Struthio camelus: one gene and its partner. The protein of the gene in region 1 interacts with the protein of each later gene in a biochemical or structural test. Links are inferred from orthologs where the notes say so. Each region holds a gene or a part of one and is shown in the gene's direction. Other genes may lie near its edges.

Evidence for each region.
Region 2: the proteins of ITK (region 1) and LCP2 form a complex in vitro, tested with the Homo sapiens proteins (2 studies listed by BioGRID, with this or other methods). The link is inferred for Struthio camelus from reciprocal best matches to the Homo sapiens genes ITK and LCP2.

Annotation. Positions count from the first base shown.
Region 1 is NC_090954.1:11,275,048-11,286,783, reverse strand, and holds the start of ITK (tyrosine-protein kinase ITK/TSK), read left to right. Parts: upstream 1-7,012; 5' UTR 7,013-7,079; coding exon 7,080-7,250; intron 7,251-11,736. UniProt on the Homo sapiens protein: Tyrosine kinase that plays an essential role in regulation of the adaptive immune response. Regulates the development, function and differentiation of conventional T-cells and nonconventional NKT-cells.
Region 2 is NC_090954.1:19,269,984-19,278,852, reverse strand, and holds the start of LCP2 (lymphocyte cytosolic protein 2), read left to right. Parts: upstream 1-4,000; 5' UTR 4,001-4,238; coding exon 4,239-4,316; intron 4,317-6,068; exon of another isoform or gene 6,069-6,259; intron 6,260-7,366; coding exon 7,367-7,429; intron 7,430-8,869. UniProt on the Homo sapiens protein: Adapter protein primarily involved in signaling pathways within T-cells, as well as other immune cells such as platelets, mast cells, and natural killer (NK) cells.

The DNA of each region.
Region 1 (11,736 bases):
CCAGGGCTGAGGAGAGGGGCAGGATCACCTCCCTCGACCTGCTGGCAACACTCTGCCTCATGCAACCCAGGAGACCCTTGGCCTTCTTGGCCACAAGGGCACACTGCTGGCTCATGCTTAACTTGTTGTCCACCAGCACTCCCAGGTCCCTCTCTGCAGAGCTGCTTTCCAGCAGGTCAACCCCCAGCCTGTACTGGTGCAGGGGATTATTCCTGCCTAGGTGCAGGACCTTGCACTTGCCTTTGTTGAACTTCCTGAGGTTCCTCTCCCCCCAGCTCTCCAGCCTGTCCAGGTCCCCCTGAATGGCAGCACAGCCTTCTGGTGTGTTAGCCACTCCCCCCAGTTTAGTATCATCAGCAAACTTGCTGAGGGTGCACTCTGTGCCTTCATCCAGGTCATTGATGAATATATTGAACAAGACTGGGCCCAGGACTGAGCCCTGGGGGACACCGCTAGCCACAGGCCTCCAACTTGACTCTGCGCCATTCACCACAACCCTGTGAGCTCGGCCATCCAGCCAGTTCTCAATCCACCTCACTGTCCACTCGTCTAGCCCACACTTCCTGAGCTTACCTAGGAGGATGTGATGGGAGACAGTGTCAAAAGCCTTGCTGAAGTCCAGAAAGACAACATCCACTGCTCTGCCCTCATCTACCCAGCCAGTCATTCTGTCATAGAAGGCTGTCAGATTGGTCAAGCATGATTTCCCTTTGGTGAATCCATGCTGACTCCTCCTGATCACCTTCTTGTCCTCCAGATGCTTAGTGAGGACCTCCAGGACGAGCTGTTCCATCACCTTTCCAGGGATGGAGGTGAGGCTGACAGGCTTGTAGTTTCCTGGCTCCTCCTTCTTGCCCTTTTTGAAGACTGGCGTGACATTGGCTTTCTTCCAGTCCTCAGGCACCTCTCCTGATTGCCATGACCTTTCAAAGATGATGGAGAGTGGCCTAGCGATAACATCCGCCAGCTCCCTCAGCACTCGTGGGTGCATCCCATCGGGGCCCATGGATTTATGGATGTCAAGTTTGGACAAAAGATCTCTAACCTGATCCTCCTCCACCAAGGGAGAGTCTTCCTTTCTCCAGCCTTCCTCTCTTGTCCCCAGGGTCTGGAATTCCTGAGGACTGGCCTTAGCAGTGAAGACTGAAGCAAAGGCAGCATTCAGTAACTCTGCCTTCTCTATATCCTTTGTTACCAGGGCACCCGCCCCATTCAGCAGCGGGCTCACATTTTCCCTAGTCTTCCTTCTGCTATTGATGTATTTGAAGAACCCCTTCTTGTTGTCCTTGACATCCCTTGCCAGATTTAATTCCAACTGGGCCTTAGCCTTCCTTGTTGCATCCCTGCACACTCTGACAACGTCTCTATATTCCTCCCAAGTGGCCTGTCCCCTTTTCCACATTCTGTGTACTTCCTTATTCTATTGAAGTTTTGCCAGGAGTTCCTTGCTCAGCCATGCAGGTCTCCTGCCCGCTTTGCTCGACTTCTTAGTCAGAGGGATGCACCGATCTTGAGCCTGGAGGAGGTGATGCTTGAATATTAACCAGCTTTCTTGGACCCCTCTTCCTTCTAGGGCCCTACCCCATGAGATTCCCCTAAGTAGGTCCCTGAAGAGGCCAAAGTTAGCTCTCCTGAAGTCCAGCGTTGCAATCCTACTCATTGCCCTGCTCCCTCCTCGTAGGATCCTGAACTCCACCATCTCATGGTCACTGCAGCCAAGGCTGCCCCCAACCTTCACATCTCCAACCAGACCTTCTTTGTTCGTTAGTACAAGGTCTAGCAATGCACCTCTCCTCGTTGGCGTCTCCACCACCTGGGTCAAGAAATTATCAATGGTTTGCAGGAACCTCTTGGACTGTTTGTGCCTAGCTGTGCTGTCTTGCCAACAGATGTCAGGGTGGTTGAAGTCTCCCATGAGAACCAGGGCCTGTGATCGTGAGGCTACTTCCAGCTGTCTGTAGAAGGCCTCATCGATGACTTCCTCCTGGTCAGGTGGCCTGTAGTAAACCCCCACAACAGTGTCACCCATGTTAGCCTGCCCTTTAATCCTTACCCATAGGCTCTCAACTTGCTCTTCATCCACCCCGAGGCAGAGCTCCATACATTCTAGTTGCTCCCTCACATAAAGAGCAACTCCACCACCTCGCCTGCCTGGCCTGTCTTTCCTAAAAAGCACATAGCCATCCATGACAGCACTGCAGTCATGTGAACTATCCCACCATGTCTCTGTCACTGCAATGAGATCATGGCCCTGCGACCGCACACAGATCTCTAACTCTTCCTGCTTATTCCCCATGCTGCGTGCATTGGTATGCAGGCATTCCAGAGAGCCAGTCAAGCACGCAGGCTTCCCAGGAGAGGTGCAAGAGGATCCTCCATGGCCATGTTCCATGCTTTCTCCCCTGGCTGTCTGCACCCGCTGGAGGCATCCTGACTTGAGCGGTGTTTTAGTGACTCCCCTGCCACTATACCACTCCCCTTCCCCCATCTTGCCTAGTTTAAAGCCCTCCGTACCAGGCTGGCCAACCTGTTGGCAAAGACGCGCGTGCCCCGCTTGGTAAGGTGGATCCCATCACTCCCCATCAGCTGTTGATCTTCAAACAGGGTCCCATGGTCATAGAAACCAAAGCCCTGTTGCCAACACCAGCGGCGCAGCCAGTTGTTAACTTGGAAAATTCGTCTACTCCTCCTCCCGTCCTTTCCCCTCACAGGCAAGATTGAGGAGAAAACGACCTGGGCTCCCAGACCCTTCACCACCCTTCCCAGAGCTATGAAGTCCCGTTTGATGGTTTCCAATTTGCCTTTTGTTCTTGTTAGCATGGAAGATCAGCAGAGGGTAGTAGTCCGATGCGTGGACAAGCCTTGGCAGTCTTTCCATGACATGTCTTCTTTGAGCCTCTGGCAGGCAGCAAACCTCTCTGGACAAGAGGTCGGGTCGGCAGAGAGGTGCCTCTGTCCCCTGCAGCAGGGAGTCACCCACAACAATCACTGGCCGCTTCTTCCGGGTGTTCCTGCACGGCACAGGGTCTGTGAGGTCAGTTGCCTCCCTTGGAGCCATGCCCAGCTCCTCCTCAGCTTGGAGGGCGCTAAGCTTGTTCTTCAAGGGTAAATCTTGAGGAGGAGCAGGAGCATTTCTCCTTCTACGAGAGGTCACCAGCTTCCAGCCCTCTTCAACAGCGTTATGATGCAGCTTTACACACGGTACAGAGCCCTCCAACAACTCCGCTGCAGTGTGGGGTGAGGACTCCTGGAGCTGCACAGTCTCCGAGAATACCCTGTCAATCTCCCGCTCATCTTCTCGGATGCTACGCAGCCTACTGACTTCCTCCCGTAACTCCTTTATCTGGTGATGCAACTGGTCAACCACAGCACACCTCATGCAGGAGAGCTGACTGTCAGCCCAGGCCTCACGGAGAGGCCCCAGGCACTCCCTGCAGCCTGACACCTGCAGAGCTGCATCTGCTGTCAGAGGGTCTGTCTGGGTTGAAGCCTCAGACACAGCTGATGCAGCACCTCCAACAGCCGCTGGGGAACGTGCTCTGCGGCATGTCATGACCATGCCCGGGGAAGGACACACCACTGTGCAAAATGGAGAGGTGCCTTCTTTGCCTTCTGGCACCCTTCTGCGCGAACTGCTGCGCAAACTACTGTGTCTGTTCACTGCCTCTGTTGGCTGCGCTCATGTCTTCATGAAAGAAGACCAATTCATGTCTTGAAAGCAACAAAGAATTATATTACAAAATTAAGAACACACAATGATCTTTGAAATAAATTCCATTCAAATACACATAAGCAGGTTACTTAATCATAAATGTTTAATTAAATATAAGTACAATTCTTGAAGCATTTGCTTCTTTATATGCATGTCAGCGTGGCCTTATAATTATTAGACTTACAAAGTATTCATCCTCTGTTCTTGGCCGGCTGTATTCAAATATTTGCATGCTTAGTACACATATTTATTGGGATTAAAATGGAAAAAGTAGCATGAATGTATAGATCTGTGGTAAGAGTAGATGCAAAAATACACCAGTCGCTACTTTCCTCCTTGATTCAACATGTCAAGAGTTGTCAGTTATATCTTAGCTGGACAATCATCAGCTTGAATTCACCATGGAAAACTCAGAATAGCTAATCTCACCTTCTAAATCCTGCTAGTTACGATATAACTATCTATGAGGCTAAAATTTGTGATTATTTTCTTACAACTTTCTGCCTTTATTCCTACATGTGTGTTGTATCAAATCTGTGAAATTTCTTTGTCAGCAGCTCAGCCTGTCCAGTTCTTCCATGCCCAGAGCCAAATCACTTGTTTGGTCCTTGATTCTGTCTTGCCTTGACTCTTGCAATGTCTTCCTCTCAGACCTCCTACAGTGCATCACATCGTACCATGTTTGCATCATACCAAGTGTAGTTGCCAGGCTCCAGGTCTAAACATTTGATCAAATGCCTCCCCTCTTCATATCTTTCCACTAACTCCTTATCTCTTATCGCATGAAGAAATCAAGCTGCCTTTCACTACTTTCAAAGAATTACTTAGCTCGCCCCCTCAACATCCCACCCTTACTGAATCTCTCTTCTCCCCCCACATCCTGTCTCCAGCAGCAGTGCTCCCCTCAAAGGCCTGCTTCTGGGTTTTTCACCTCTTCGCTGTCCTGTAGGCCTTGCTTTTTTTGCAGAGGTGCAATGTCACACCCTTAAATTTCTCTTTATGTTCAATTTTCTGAAAAGACAACGTGAAAATCTCAGCCAACAGATTGTGAACCTCCTTGGTATAAGCAACTAAGACTTTTCAGAAAGTCTTTTTGCAGTCAATGCAAAAAACAGAATAGAAAGAATAGCGCAGTCCTAAGTGTCCATAGCTAAAAATGCAATAGCATTAGAAACAATGAAGCTAGTTACAAGTGAAATCTATTGTCTTTTTTTGGATTCCCTGCTGCTAGCACAATGAAGTCCCATGGAGTTAATGTATGCGGGCACTCTACTCTCTGTGTTTCAGTTTTGTAGTTACAATAAGAGAATCTTGGAGCATAATTTAAACCAGTAAATTCTCAAGCATGAGAATAATTATGTGCACACAAAAGTGGGCCTAAGGAAGTTCTGGAAGAATAAGAACAGTAGTTATTTACAGAGAGCACAATTTTAGAACACTCACAGTGGATGCTGAATTTGCCATACATGTGCATTGCATGAGGCGTGTGTGTGTTTTGTAGAAGGATTTGGCAATTTGGCCCAAGAGTTTATCCTAGTCTTCAAATAGATATGAAATCCCCCTTGGCAGTGGTGACAGTTTTTCAGGAGATCACAGACTTACGTCATTTTTCTTGTTCAACCACAAGGGTTCCTTGGAACTCAGTCACACTACCAAGAAATGAAACATAGCTTCTCTAGTCTTGCATGCAGTGTTTCAGTATACACTGCATTTCTTCTTCTGCAAGACCACCACGTAGAGATAAATACAGGGATCAACTGCACAACAGCTTCTGTTTCTCCCTGTTCTGTGGTTTGGATTGCTTTAGCAAGTTCTCTTTCAGAACTGCAGAGAAAACACTAACTTTAAATTGTATTCTTATGGCAAATATAGGTTCTTGATAGCATTAAGCAAGATATATAAGGAACGTTTGACAATCCCTGGGGTATTTTGTCTGAGCAAATGCTCAGTATAACATGAAACAGCAAGGAAGGGATATGCTTACCTGTTTCTCCATATATTCTATTGAGAAATACTGTTCCCAAGTTTGTGCCCAAGAACTGGCCTACAAAATCTAAGTCTTCATTTAAACAGAGTTTGCCAGTCTTATATTTATTTAGATTTTTTCCTCAAGAACTGAATTTAAAACAATGAAGTATCTTCTTTGAAACTTGAAAACAACTCTAAAAATACATCAGAAAGAGGGAGCTATCTCCTTGTATCCTAATGTTGTGTTAGGATCAAATGGGATCTTGCAAAAAGCCAGCACTGGCAAATGATGTAGAGTGGAGTAATTTTCAGAAATACCTGATTAATGATAATACTTATCTGGCATCTCACTCATTCCACCAGACTCCATGTCTCCAAGCCCCAATAGCATCAACACTACAGTTATACATCACTGATAAAATAATGCACAAAATATTAAAAATGCAAGAACAGAGGAAAATCTATTGCATTTGTTTTAAAACAAATGGTTTTTTTACTGAGTTTTTTTAAAATATTTAAAATATTTACATGTTTTAAAATTCTAAAATTAAGCTGCTGCAGGCTGTCCAGAATGGTGCAGTGAAGTCCTGAGGAAACGTATTGCACTTATTTTGGTATTTCTGCTCACTTTGCTGCTGATGACAGGGATCTTGATTACACAGAGTGTATGTTGTGCCTGTGTTTCTCGCAGCATTCAGCTCTGGACTAATTAGAGTGCCTATGAAGCAGACAGCAATCAGTAAACAGTAACTGATAATAACTAATTAGTTATCAGTTATTATAACTGTTTGCTATCAGATTAAATATCTAACAACTGTAAGTATTTATCCTTCCTTGTAAAAATATATAATGGATATGATTTTTTATATGGGTAGTAGGTTTAATTGCTTTGAACTGCCTTTTTGCCTTTGCTTACATATTAGGAACTTTCATGTTATGTAAGAAATTTCCTCAAAATACTTTTTTTCGTAAAAAAAACAAAAAAGGATGTGTGACCTACTTCTAAGAGGACAGGAAAGACACTTCTCCTATACATTCAAGTTCAGTGTATGCATTTATAACTGTATTTACTGGATGGACAAGTAGGAGACAGATGCTTAATCATGCCACACCTCTTTATTAATCCTTGATCATTGACTCACATCTGTTGAATGTCGCTGAAGTGTTATTTTTTCCACAACATTTACCTTAGAGGATATTTCAGCATGTGCTGTTCGGTTTATGACTTCAGAGAGGATGTGGTTATGGTTTGACAGAAAGGAAGCCTGCTGTAGATGGGAAGATAAAGCTCAAAGCACCTACGCTGCCTTATGAACACCTTTTTTGTTAAAAAAATTAACTGTCTTCCTTCTTGTTTCTCTGTCTTGGACGGGTGCTCAGCGCGTAGGGCAGGCATCCCATGTCCTGGGAGAGGACTGTTCTTGGCTCAGCAATGAATAACTGTGTGCTCCTGGAGGAACAGCTCATCAAAAAATCCCAGCAGAAGAGAAGGACGTCTCCCTCCAACTTCAAAGTGCGCTTCTTTGTCTTAACCCAGTCCAAGTTGGCTTACTATGAACATCGCCATGGGGTATGTCAGCCATTTTCTCTCACATAATACAGCAATGGAAGGAAGGATGAACTCTCCGTTAAGCATTATCAACTTCGTATTTCTAGTCCTTATTACAGCACCATTTGCTGAAAATTGCAAAGTGGTCAAACTGGTCATTCAAAACTACTGGTCAATGGGCATCTGGTGTGAATGGGGGAATAAGACTACCTAGCTGTTTTACAGAAAAGATCTAGTTTTGTTGTAGGAATTTACAGTGGGCTGTCACAACCGATATATGTAACAGCCGAGTGGGTCTGCGCCTGGCTGTTTGCGTTGGTACAGGAGTGACCTGCAGCGGCACATTGCAGCGATCACAAGTGTTCTGCGCTATGTACCCTAATTACATCTGGGAAAAAAAATCAGCCCCTGTCTTTACTCTCTCATCTTTCTTTAGGGTAACAAACTGGTGGCTGCTAGGTCTTACATTTTTAGATAAATTCAGCTGCCATGCTTAACAGGTCTAGCCTTTGGATTTAGCTTAAAAAGGAATGTGATGATGAGATACATGCTCAGACTAGTCATTTTTTCAGCTTTCATTTCTCTGATTTGCTAAATATGAAGAAAATTAGAAGCCAGTCTGCACACCCCATTGTGCTAGCTATGCTAGTGAAGTAAGAATTATTCCCCTCTTCCTATATTTAGCTGGATGTTTTCTGGGCCTCATTAGACAGTTGTAAATCATACAGCTTGTTTTCCAATAATTGCTGAATATGCGATTAATCCATTATGTTTAAGTGATGTTACCTTACACAAGCAAGTACTGGGGACCGTGTTGCCTTGCTGTCTGGCTTTGGCAACTTGAGATCATCAGACATTGCTCACAGACATAGAAAATTAATTTAAAACTGAAACCAACAAGGAAAGCAAATTACGATGAGCCCTTGTATCATATCATTGCCCAGTTGAGGTTGGATACCTGTCTTAAGGGTTAATAGTCATTATTACTTGCAAGTTACTTCTCTCAAATATGTTCAGCAAATGTTTTACTTGCTTTTATTTTATAGATGGTGCTTTTCCATACCTCCATATTTAAATAGGAAAACATTTATTGCTGCCTTGTTTTTCTGTATTTAGTTTCAGACTCTCTGTGGCTGCTATCCAGACTATCTTTCAGATGTTATTATTTTAAGATTTTGGATTCTAACCATTCTACTCGATTATGCTGGGTAAAATTTTCAAAAACATCTAAGTGATTCAGCTGTACGTATTTAGAGGAATCTTAATACCTAGGGTTTTTTGGTACTTTCTGAATCCTGATGGATTTGAGAGGAATTCAGCATTTATCCTGCCTAAGTACTTTTGCGGAATTGCACAGGTGTCTGCCTGCATTTTTAGACACATAAGTAGTTTGGAAAATCTGACTTAGTGACTTTCAGTGGGGCTTAGATTTCATATGTTACATGAGCATCTTGGGAAATGTTATCCCCTAGCCTTCCTGAATGTCAAGTAGGCCATTGTGGGATATATTCAGACTGCCCCAACACAAATATTTAAAAAGCTTGCAAAGGCACATTGGTACACTACACATTCAAAATCTGAATTCATGGTGAACGACAGCTGGCAAATACCTTTTTATTTACTTATTTATTTATTTATGTAGGTTAGGAACTTAGGAACTTCTGAAAATTTGATGTCCAAAATCAGACCATAGAGGACCAGATCTTTAAGTGATTTAAAATGCTGTAAGTCCAGAGGCATCAAAATAGATCTATGCAAAGTTGGACCAGATGAGGACTTGGTGCACTATCTACTCTATCTCATATGTTATCTGTTATAAACTTACACGCATTACATATGTATAGACATACATATGTATGAACACACTAATATGACTTTAGGCACATACAAACATTTGAGTGACTGTGGGTATGTCTATAACTTCAGGGCCGATGTTCCATGAAACATTGATTTTGTGTTGATACAAACTATCAAAATCAGGTCATTACATTAACAGAAGAACTTAGTACCAAATGTGGAAAGAGTATTTGCGCTTTTACATGCTCCCAGAACCAGTCCTCAGGCTCTTCAGTGTATTTCCCACAAAACAGATCATCCTGGTCAGGCCTCCATGCAGTCTGGTCATCCCTGTTCTGGAGAGGAAAGCTTAAGGCAGGCCGTGGAATCGCTGTCGTGTCTCATGCTAAGAACTGAGTGAATCCTGAGCAACCATGTTCACAGCCTTGCGGCCCGTGACGGGAAAATGATTGTATTTGCCTGACACGCTGGCTATGTCCATCCTAGCAAACCAAACAGGACCAGGGAGCATTTGCAGGCATAGAAATTAATGGTGTGTACCAGGACTCTTCCAGCACAGGCCCTGGCACAGTTTTGGCTCTGCTCAGACAATTCGTGGGGACGGCAGGCATTAGCATAGACCATGGGCCGTTGTCAGTAGACCATCTGCTTGTGGCCACCTCACTCAGGAGGCGAGGGGGCCAAGCAGCATGGCATCGGCTGCTCTGTGCTCGCTGGCCTCAGTGACTCAGGCTCGCTCGCTGCACTGTATAGAGGGGGCCAGCAAGTGCTGGGCTTTTAAAGTATGCGGGTTCCAAGGACAATCTCTGTGGATGTTTGCTACAAGAGATTTTGGAGAGCTTCTTTAAGAACCCCTTACCAACATGTCTAGTTGATTACTGTACTTGGAGTTCAGTATTGCACGGTATCCACCTCTCTGGTCCCAGGTGAGTCAGTAACAACAGCCTATACATAAATTCAGATAAAAGAATTTGCTAACTGCTTAACAGTTTGCAGAGTCCCGTAGATTTCAGTGGAGTGGCTTAAAGTAAAGCATATGCTCATGTGCTAAGCACAGGCTACTGTATTTTGACTGTATTGAGAACACAGTGATAACAGGGTTTGGCATCCAGTCCCTTTCTCTGAATTTTGACAATATGGGTATGAAAGGATCTTTAAGAGTTTGAGTGTAGCAGTCCAAAGCAAGAAAATAAACAGGCCAAAGTAAAATACTGGATAATTCTCTAAATAATATCAAAAGCTAACTGGACTACTGGCATCATAAAGGCAAATTTTTGCAATAACTGTAATATCATTTTCCGTTTTAACAGCACGTAGCTGGAGAGAAAGCTCTTTTCGCGTCATGAGCCAAGCACACAATAGCCATTAATGCTAATGAAAGATATTTACATATCTCATTAGGAGAATGAATCCCCAATAAGTGACAACAATAAGAAGCTATGTTTTCTGGAATTCATTACACGGTGCACAATGCAGGGCTGTCTTAGCATAAAGCACGTGTGTTCAGCCCCTGTCTCTACTAAAATACATCAGAAGTGCCTTTATAATAACATGCAAATCACTTCCATGAGCTTCTAGGGTCTAATTTTACAGCTACTGTGCACATGAGTAAATGAGCACATGGGAGTGATCATTTTAACTATTTCAGTGAGTTTGATCCTCATCAGAATAACCTGTAATGCAGACACTTATGCGATACTCCCAGAGTCCCAGCACCTATTTGCATTACTGCAAAAGCAGCAGGCAAGTGACTCCCTTTGGCAGGGATCTCTGGGGCAGGCTTTCAAATGTACTTACTTGGCCATAGCAAAAATGCCTGAACTGGTCAGTTACCTAAGTCCTGTTGGCCTAATGGCTTACGATCTATAGTAAATCCTCCAAACTAGCAGACAGGAGAGTAAAAAGAGATAATTTGCAGGTCAGAATCTAAGCAGAGGTTCATGCATGGTCTTTGCATGTCACATACGCCACATCTACCAGGATGAGGACAGACAGAAATGAGCCTCTCTGCTTGAAATTCAAGCTGGCTGTCATCTGAAAGTGGCACAGATATGGGAGGCTGATGCCACACTTCAGTAACTGGGCTGCTGTCCTTCAGGATGGTGCCACACTAATGCAGCTGTGCAGCTGGGTTGGAGCTGCTCGTTCTGGGGCTGCTCTGAGCTATGGCGAGTGCTTGGATCTGTCTGTACCAGCCAAGGAGAGGTACTCCATGTCCCCGTGCCATGGGTTGTCCCTTCGGAAATAGACCTCTTATAATGCCTTGCCCTACAGGGGCATTCTAAAAAGATGTATTTAAGGACTGGGAAGTTATACCAAACACCTGGGAAGTTCAGGCACCTACGTATTTTTTAGCTTCATGCAGTGATGGACTCTTACTAGTCTAGTTTTCAAAGAAAGCGATGAAGGAAACACAGAAAAAAGGAGTGAGTTTCCTCTTCATTTATATCCGCACTATTCTTCCTACACTGGTTAGATGCTCAAGAGGTAAAGTAGCATGAGTAAGCCTTGTCCTGGGCTCCTTCACTCAGATCTTTGACATTCGGATATAAAGATGGCACTTCAGTGTGTGTCAAAATTTGCTTTCCATCTCTTGTTCCAGGAGATAAAAGGAATAAACTTGGCTAAAAAGCCTTTTATCAGCCTCAAAAAAAAATGTTTCAGCTACTTCTGTTGGATTGTCTGTGTTAGTTGCGATAGTCCAGCTACC
Region 2 (8,869 bases), about 8.0 Mb from region 1:
TAAAATAGTGGTCCCTACTCACTGGTGTTCTCTGCGGGCTAGCCGCTAGGTGGTGAGGCAGGTTTGTAATTAGAATCCAGCCAAAGAGGTTTTTGTTAACTTTTGAAAAACTTGGTTCTGCATCTTCTATTACTGCACAGACATTGCAAAATGAAGGTTAACATTTGACTGCAAGATTGAAGGGAATAATGGATAAGGACATTTAAGGAGTGGCAAGTGTGGCTTAGTGATTATTAAAGACAGTAAGGAATATACAACATTACTAGGAAGATATTTAAATGGCATAAAAATGAAAACATTCTTACCATGTTGTATAGGCATGTATACAACTCGGAATGAGAGGATGCAATGATAAAAGAAAACGTAGGTTGGCAATAATAAATAGTCCCAAGATGAAAAGAAAAAAATTATTGCCTGAGACTTTGAAAAACAATACTGGCCAGGACTACAGAAAAACATGTCATCGAAATCCACTTTGCTTTGGGCTGGAGATGAACATGAAGACCACATTCATATGAAATTTGAACTTTTTTTGCTTGGCTCTAGAAAAATTGACCTGGCAACTGTTTATTTTTTGCAGAAAAATAAACCACTCTGAAAGCTGTTCTAAGTAAGCCCTTGATTCCACTTTGAGCAGGGTGCTAGGGGACAGAAGAGATGAGAGGACATGGAAAGTACTGAGGCCCTCTGAACACAGCAGAATGTGGGCAACGTGAATTTCCCTCCTACTTTACCTGAAAGGGCTAGGCTCTCAGATTTCAAATACTGCTTAGCAGACCATTGCTACATCTGAAAAAACTGTTCCGCTGGCAGCTGTTATTAGAAGAGGCATATTTCTTTATGCCAAGGTTGTGTCACTGCAGGTATTGACTTTAAAAGACCTAATTCTTTCAAAAGGGAAAAAAAGGTCACAGTGAAATAGGTATGAAACTGGTAACAGTTGTAACATGAACGTTCTCCTCAGAATTTGGAAATCTAGGAGAAATTTGGAAATCTGAATCTAAATCCATTTCATGGAAGATTGCCATCTGATGTCTATAACAAATTCTATTACAGAAGAGATGTGTATTGTCCTGCAAACTCATTCTGTCTTCACTTCCGTCCTCACTTGCAACATAAGATGGGACTACTAAGATCTAAAAGCATGTGATCATTCCCTCTCATGAAAAACACAATAGCAGGATCTAAGCAGAAAGTGAGGATTGCCACCTCTGAAATGTTTTCAGTTAACAATCGAATTCCTGTATGTAGCTTGTCAAACTTGGCTTTCTTCTACAAGAGCTCTCTGTGGCCTTGTATGTTGGTTGTGGTTCACCCAACCACCCTGCAGTCATTCCGTCTTCCTCCATAAAAATTGGATGTTATTGCTTCCCTAACATCCTTCTTTACCCTCCTACCCAAATCTGACTAGAGATTAGACATGGGCTTTCCTAAACTTGGACATTCAACTTTTTCAATTTCCCCTCTTGGCAGCCATTACAGTGTTGGGAGTTCCCTCTCTATGAGCAGAAGACGCTGCAGCAACAGGGGCACTGCGAGAAAGTGCTGATTCTAGATGCAATAACTGTGGCTCTGAAGAGAGAGAGAGAAGCAATAAACAAGTGGGGAAATGCCAGAAAAGTGAACATGGGAAAAACTGAAAGAGAAAGGCAATTATGTCCTTTTCTTTTTTCCAGGACCAAGATCTCCCTTTGTTGAATATAGATTTGCCAAATTACATTTCTGGGCCACAAAGAAAGACATTTAAAGCATTTTTCATAACAACAACTCTATGCAGTTCAGTTGGGATTGGAGGATGTGACTCACGTGTGGTTATCTGTGAGCTGAGTAACATTTTCCGCACTAAAATACATACATAGGTTAGCGATGCAATTCAAAATTGTTACACTAATGTAGCAGTATAGCTAAAAATTCAAATGCAGAAAACTCAAAGTTATGTTTTCTCAGCAACCCTGACACGGCCACCACATCCTATGCCTTTATCAAATTACAAAAAAAATGGTTCTAGACAAAGAGAAAGCTCAAGTCAGTGTGAGCTGGGATTTTGTAAAACGCATGCAATAAGCATGTACCTACAAAATATTTACAGTGACTCACAACATAAAACAAAAGATCATCCATCATGGGATCCAAGCAAATAATAATGATGACTTCAATGTGTTAAGACTTTCTGTGTTAGTGGCTCTCTAAAATAGTAGATAGACTTTAAAGGTGACCGACTTTCTCTTTGAACATATAACAATGTCAGACTAAACTTTAATTTAGCTAATAATTTTTATATTACTGTAAGTAAAGAATAATACCATTGAAATTGGAGTTGTTACATTAGATTTACCTTGGGATAGAAATTTGATTCCAGAGCCACGTGGAATGTACTGAAAAACTGTAATTGCACGAACAGTCAGAAATTACAGCATGGTCTTCTTCACGTGTCTGTACTGGAAGAAACCGTTTCTTTGTTGAAAGACCTCATGGTGCCCGGTGGGGAGTTAGAGATAGATGTCATGTAACCTCCTCTTTACTGCTGCTGCTGATACACCATCAAAACAACTTTTCCTTTGGGGTTCCTTTGTCACATGTTCATTTAGTCTTATTTCCTCCTTAGACCTAGATTTAAAATGAAGAGGTGATGATGTTTCTGCGATACTGTCAGTATATGCTTCCGATGGTTTATACAGGCCAGTGCAAATAAGAACCAATAAAACTTAGCTCTACCATGTATTTGCTAAGTTCTATGCTGTGTTTAGAACAGCTGTTACAGCAGTTTAGTTTTAGAGAATTTTAAATACCTTGCTGCCATCATTTCCCAAAATGTTTCTCTAAAAAAGCAAGCTACATTAAATCAAATGAAGACTATACATTTCAAAAGGAAAATTCTCATGCATAATACTACAGAGACTGCTATCTCAACTAGAGCTGTATGCAATAAACTTGTGAATTTGCGGCCCAATGTCAGAAGGTCTTCAATGACTAGAAAGAGCAAGAGTGAGGCATTTCATTAGAAAGAAGAGAAACTTTCCTTTCCAGTGCTTCAGAACTATGATCTATTCTTTCTAATATAGAAAGTTCACAAAATACCACCTTCTGTCCTCTCCACTGGAGCAGATGCGGACCGTGACCCCAAGCATGCACACCAGTACAACCTGGGGAGGAAGCTCCATATCAAGAAAAGTGAGAATGAACACGCCAGGTCTTTTTAAAAAAACAGGTGACTTTTGAATTACTCGATGTACTCTCACCAAAGGGTCTCACTGAATGGATGGTGCAGGAATTGGCTATACATGACAGATGCTGTTTGTCAGGTACCTGCGGTAATATTATGGTTCTGTGGATTCTTTTTCAGACATATAACAATGCTCATTAGAGGCAGCTAAGAAATGGAGCTAGAGGGAGAAAGAATGGCAATATAGTCATTTTTTATACGTTTGTCTTTTAATTTCACTGAGAGATAGTCATCACCCTAAATTTGAAAGACTGAACAAATGATGACTGTATTCACACTCCTAAATCATTCATACCTTCTTATGTTCAACGTCAACAAGAACCTTTTATTTTCTGTATGTAATATAAAGTAGCATACTGCTATGCACATATGATTTGATCAAATCCACAGACATAATGGAGAGCCTGCTAATTAGAATTTGCATATGAGTTTGAGAAACCTATCGCATGAATTGTATTAGATTATAATATAGAAAGCCAATGTGACACTCCAGGCAGGGAGATAGGGTGAAGAAGTTTCTCTTAAGTAAACTTTTCTGTGTTTTCAGAGACTGCCTGGGCAAGACTGGCACAGAAGCAGAGATCAGTGCAGCAGAGATCAGTGCAGTACCAGTATTTTTATACTGGATATAGTATAGAAATATGCCAAGACGTGCTCTGATGTAATTACAAGCAAATAGAGTCCATAGGAGCTTACTTATATGCAGCAAGCAGAGCATTTTCAACAGGTTGCTGTGCTTCCTTGTTTACTTATTTATATATACAGACAAAGGAAGTGGTAAGGCTGACTAGCTGACAACTTTTCTGAGAAGAGACCATTTTGTATTAGAGGAAGCAGTAGCTCTCTTGGATGTGCTAACAACGTGATTCTGAAATAAAAAGTCTGCTAAAGAGAAGGAGCTGGGCATTTATTTATACGTGCTGGAGGTGATCACACACAGGGAATACATGGCAATTTCATTGACACTACTGGCATGAACATTCTCTAGCTGCCTGAAAGAGAAAACTTACTTACAATGGATTTGAGAAACATTCCCTATCGTTCAGACGTGGTTACCTGGAACCCGGATGACTTAGCAGAATATTTTAAGACGGTGAGTTTAACTGTGTTTTGTCTTTGTATGACAGAGGAGCAAACTACTGCGAAATGTTTATGCTAAAGATAGATTTTTTTTAACAGAAAAAGTTTGTTGCAAAAATAAAACCAAAAACCACCACCAATTAAGAAACTGAGCTAAACTTGGTAGTAAAACCTATAAATGAATCTTGAAAGTGTATTTTAAATTAACTGTAAGAGAAACTGATGGCTTTGCAGAGCAAATGCACACACTACTATAACAATTGTTGATAAAACATAGATGAAGGCTGTAAAATACATTAATGTGTAAAGATTACAAGCTTTCTAGGTCTTCTTCAATGATTTTCAGAAGTGAGATTTTTCAAATTGCTCGATGTTCACAAATGAGATTCTGAATGTCTTTGCTAATCAAGGCATCCATATGAACTCAGCCAGGAACTCAGCAGATGTGGATACAAGAACTCCTGCGGGTTTTTTAGGGTCAGTGTGAAAACCTTTTGCCTTGTGGTTCTAGTTTCCTACTTGAAAACTTCCTGGATGAAACTCATGGGTCATTTCCTCACTTCTCCCCTGTTTATGAGAGAGCTTTTCATCAAGGTTACTAGCCACCCCTTTTCTCCCCTCACTGTTACTTTTTCTGAAATTACCTTGTGTGGTCAGCTAAGGACTTCTGCTTCTTTTAACATACCTTTCACTGGTGAACAGTTCTAAATTTCATTTTACAAGGTGGAGGATTTTCCACAGTTAAGAAATACTTTCAAAGGTAATATGGCAATTCAGTGTTAATCTTCTACATAGCAATGCTGACACCATTGTAATTGCTCAGGAATGTGTAACTGACTCAATTTTACTGAAATTTCATTTCTATATGTTCTCTGCAAATTCATCGTTTTTCAATTCACATAAGAGAGAGTGCCTTGTCTATCTCCCTTGCTGCAGAATATGTTCCTCCTCAAATCCAAAACTGTCAGCTTGGAATTTAACATTCAGATCAATCAAAAGATTTGGGAACATTTTCAAGCAATGTGAGCATACATGTGTTCATTTTCAAGTGAGCTATCAGACTAGTCTTGGGGGGAAAAAAAAAACAGGGTCACTTCAGGGTTTGCCACTGAAATCATGCAAAATTCATGGTTTCAACAGTTTTCGTAGTTTTCTTTGGGGAGTTGGGGCAAGTTTGAAACTAGAATGCAAAACTAGGCAACAAACAGATCAAACAAAAAAATCAGTATTTGCAAAATCTCCAGAGAAGTGAAACTGCCAGCTATCTGCAAACCTTTAATTCCAGGCACAGTGGTTAGCAGCACAGTACAGTGGAACAAAGAAGCAGAGATAGAGCAGATGAGCTTATTACCAACAACCAATTGCAGATGAATAAGGAAGACATTACAGCATTGGTGCATGGTGGTTTGGATCACCATTTCCAAGAGACTAACAAAAGAAATGGCTTCCTGAAAGAGCTGCTAATGATTTTCTTAGCAGCAATACAAGGATCAACTCTAAGTTCTATCATAATTGGTACACGGGTTTTTGAGTACCTCCCCTTTATTGATGCACAGACACCCTCCAGGATAGAGGTAATGTTAGCATTCCTCTTTTGGACAGGAGAATCAGGGCCAAGAAAAGCTACTCAAAGTCTTATAGGAAATCTGTCAGACAATGATGTCAACCTAAGTTAGACAAGTCCGGGCTAAGTGACCAGATCCTTCTCCCCAAATTAACCCATACCATTTCCCTCACACATAGATTAAAGGGTCCAGTACTATACCTTAACAATGTTTTATTTTCATCTGACTGATGTATTTTGCCTTGGAAGTATCCTGCAGCCCCATGTTCAGGACTTCAGTTCCAAGAGGGATGAGCAAATCTTTTCCTGCTGCACTGAGATAATTGAGGGATGATTTTCAAAGGAGGGATGATTTTCAATCAATCAGTCACATTCAAGTCCACCATCACCTAACAAAGCGATCATGTGGTCATGTCACAGGGCAGTGGAAGTTAAGACCTTTGTCAATTCTGGTTAGCAGTTGCTCGTTGCTGCTGTCAGGATTGTGCTGGCGATACTGTGATGGTATTCACTATATGAAAGAGTTATTATTTATAGGTTTAAATCTTCAGTCAGCACAAGTTTTAATATGCATTTGAAAATGTTTAGCAGAGTTAGGTCTGTTTCTGTATATGAGTAACTGAAGGTGGCTCCCATAAACTCTCAGCTGTTCAAATGTTTCTAGGATCTGGTCTCAAACAACAACTAGTTACAAGATTTAATTGTACTCCTTAAAATTGACTAGAATAAAAAAAAAAAAGAAGAAGAAAGGACATAATGTTCCCTTTAAGACTCCCAGCAGTACAAGATCTGTTAGCTGTATAACTTTTGACTAGCTAAAGCCCCAGACGAGGCTGTAGACATTCTTTTATTTTGAGAATAAAAAGTTCTCCCAGAAGTCACTTTGCCTACTCTTTGGGTTCCTTCTGCCATGGACTTACCTACTTGAAACAGAAGAAATGCCTTCTAGCCATTATATTTAATGTATTTAATCCCTTAGAGATCTAAAAGATAAGCTGTTTTCTTACATGATGTTATTTCAGTTCAAATCTAAAACTTAACGCACCCACTGGAAATAGTTAAAAGTCATGTACTTCCAAACGTGGCTATTTTATTTTATTTCTGTGAGTCCCTCAATTTACATTTAAATTTTATCCGAATAGAACCAGGAACTTTCTTGTTCCTAAATATGTGAAAATACACTGAAGGATCTTTGTCTTAACAATCCATGTTTACGGACCAAAATGAACCATTTAGACAGTCCAGCAGGGTATGGAAAAACATGAGGTTATAGCATCTAAGTGGGGGTCATGAACTGTAGATCTATCTGTTTTTATGAGTTTATCCCAAGGAAGATTAAAAAGTATATTGTTCACTAATGTGATCCCCACGACAGACAAGACACAGTAGGCTCTCGCATACACGAGGCTAATTTGAAGCACCTACTCAAAGTTAGCCATGTGGATGAGTGCCTTAGTCCATTCTTAAGTGTGCAATAATCATCTTCCTTTCTTTGGCAGCTAAAGTACAAGGATTGTGAGAAAGTCGTAAGAAAGCACAGTATAAACGGACAAAGGTTTTTGGTAAGTAGAGTTGTAAAATTCTTTAAATCAGGTCATTGTTCTGACCCTTACTTTGGATCAGCATTTCGCTTCTAGATAGTTAATAAGGTCTAAATATCTGGATATAGATAGAATATGGAATGCTGGGAACCCAAGAATGTTGTTCAATATGTATGTATTTTAGTATCTTTTAAATGGACAGGGAAGCTATAAAGCCATAATATTGCCTTGAATTAATAATCTCTTTCTTTATAGGAAATGCTTGTTTTCAAATATTAACTAGAAAAACCTCACATTTATCAATTCTGTTCTCCTACCAAAGAAGAGGCGGACAAGGCCAGAACAAGCGGCCTTCTGCCGAAGTCACTATGACATGCCTCTAGAGTTAAAATAAGTTCTTCTGCAGCAACACACAAGCAATAAACTGTAACTGCATCAAAAATAGTAAGCAAGTTCCCATTGAATTTAAATCAACATTGCTATAGGGAAGCTAATATGCATGGTCCATGCTGTACCAGTGACCTGGCTTAACTTTAGAAAAGCTGACAATTTCCATTTATACAGCTGCTGTTTTCAGGTCTTAGGTATACATCCATAAAGATGTGTAAAGGTTTTTATCATTATTTCATTTTTTTATTTCTATTTTTTTTCCAAATTTATTATTCCAAAAAGTCCACATTTTGATCAGCTGTCCAATTAGTCACAGCAGATAAATTGATGCACATTTCTTTTACAGCCCTCTTATCTTTTATTCACTTGTCCTAATGTATCAAGTTTTTTGACATTTCTTAGAAATGTAGCATTAAACTTTTTCACCATCTCTAGTAGGCACAGGATTACCACCCTCCCCAGTCGGTGGAGTCAGAATGATTCAGTATGTCACAGGATTTATTGCACTAACCACTAAGAGATTCTCCTTAACTCAAGCACTGAGAATCTGCGGCTGGAGTGGGACTTCTGGCTCTGGAAACATTATGAAAGCCTGGAAGCGTGTGAGGTGCAAATGACAATAGCAATAGCTGTGCAATTCCTAAGTGATTTTGAATTTCTCTATTGTTTCCAGGGTGTTTCTATAAATACTTAGCTTAGAGTGCAGCATTTCTTCAGAAACATCCTAGCAGATTCAAAGGATGCTTTTCTGTTAAGTAGGTAGCTGCTCAAGTCTGCTGAGACAGTTGTTTTTAAGCTTTCGAATTACTTGACAATTGTATAACACAAAAAAGGTTCACTCATGCCATAGAGCAATAGGAGAATTTAAATGCAATATTTCAGAGTGCAATGCAATCTTGAAAAAATAATTGTTTCTCTATACGATTGACATTTCTGAGAAACATCTTTTGCCATCTTTAAGCGACTGGAAACTGCCAAATTACATTTGGACTTGAACGGTTAAGATTTGAGTGTTTGCAAGTTTTATATCCACTGTTAGATCGACACAGTGAACCTAACTGCAAAAATAGT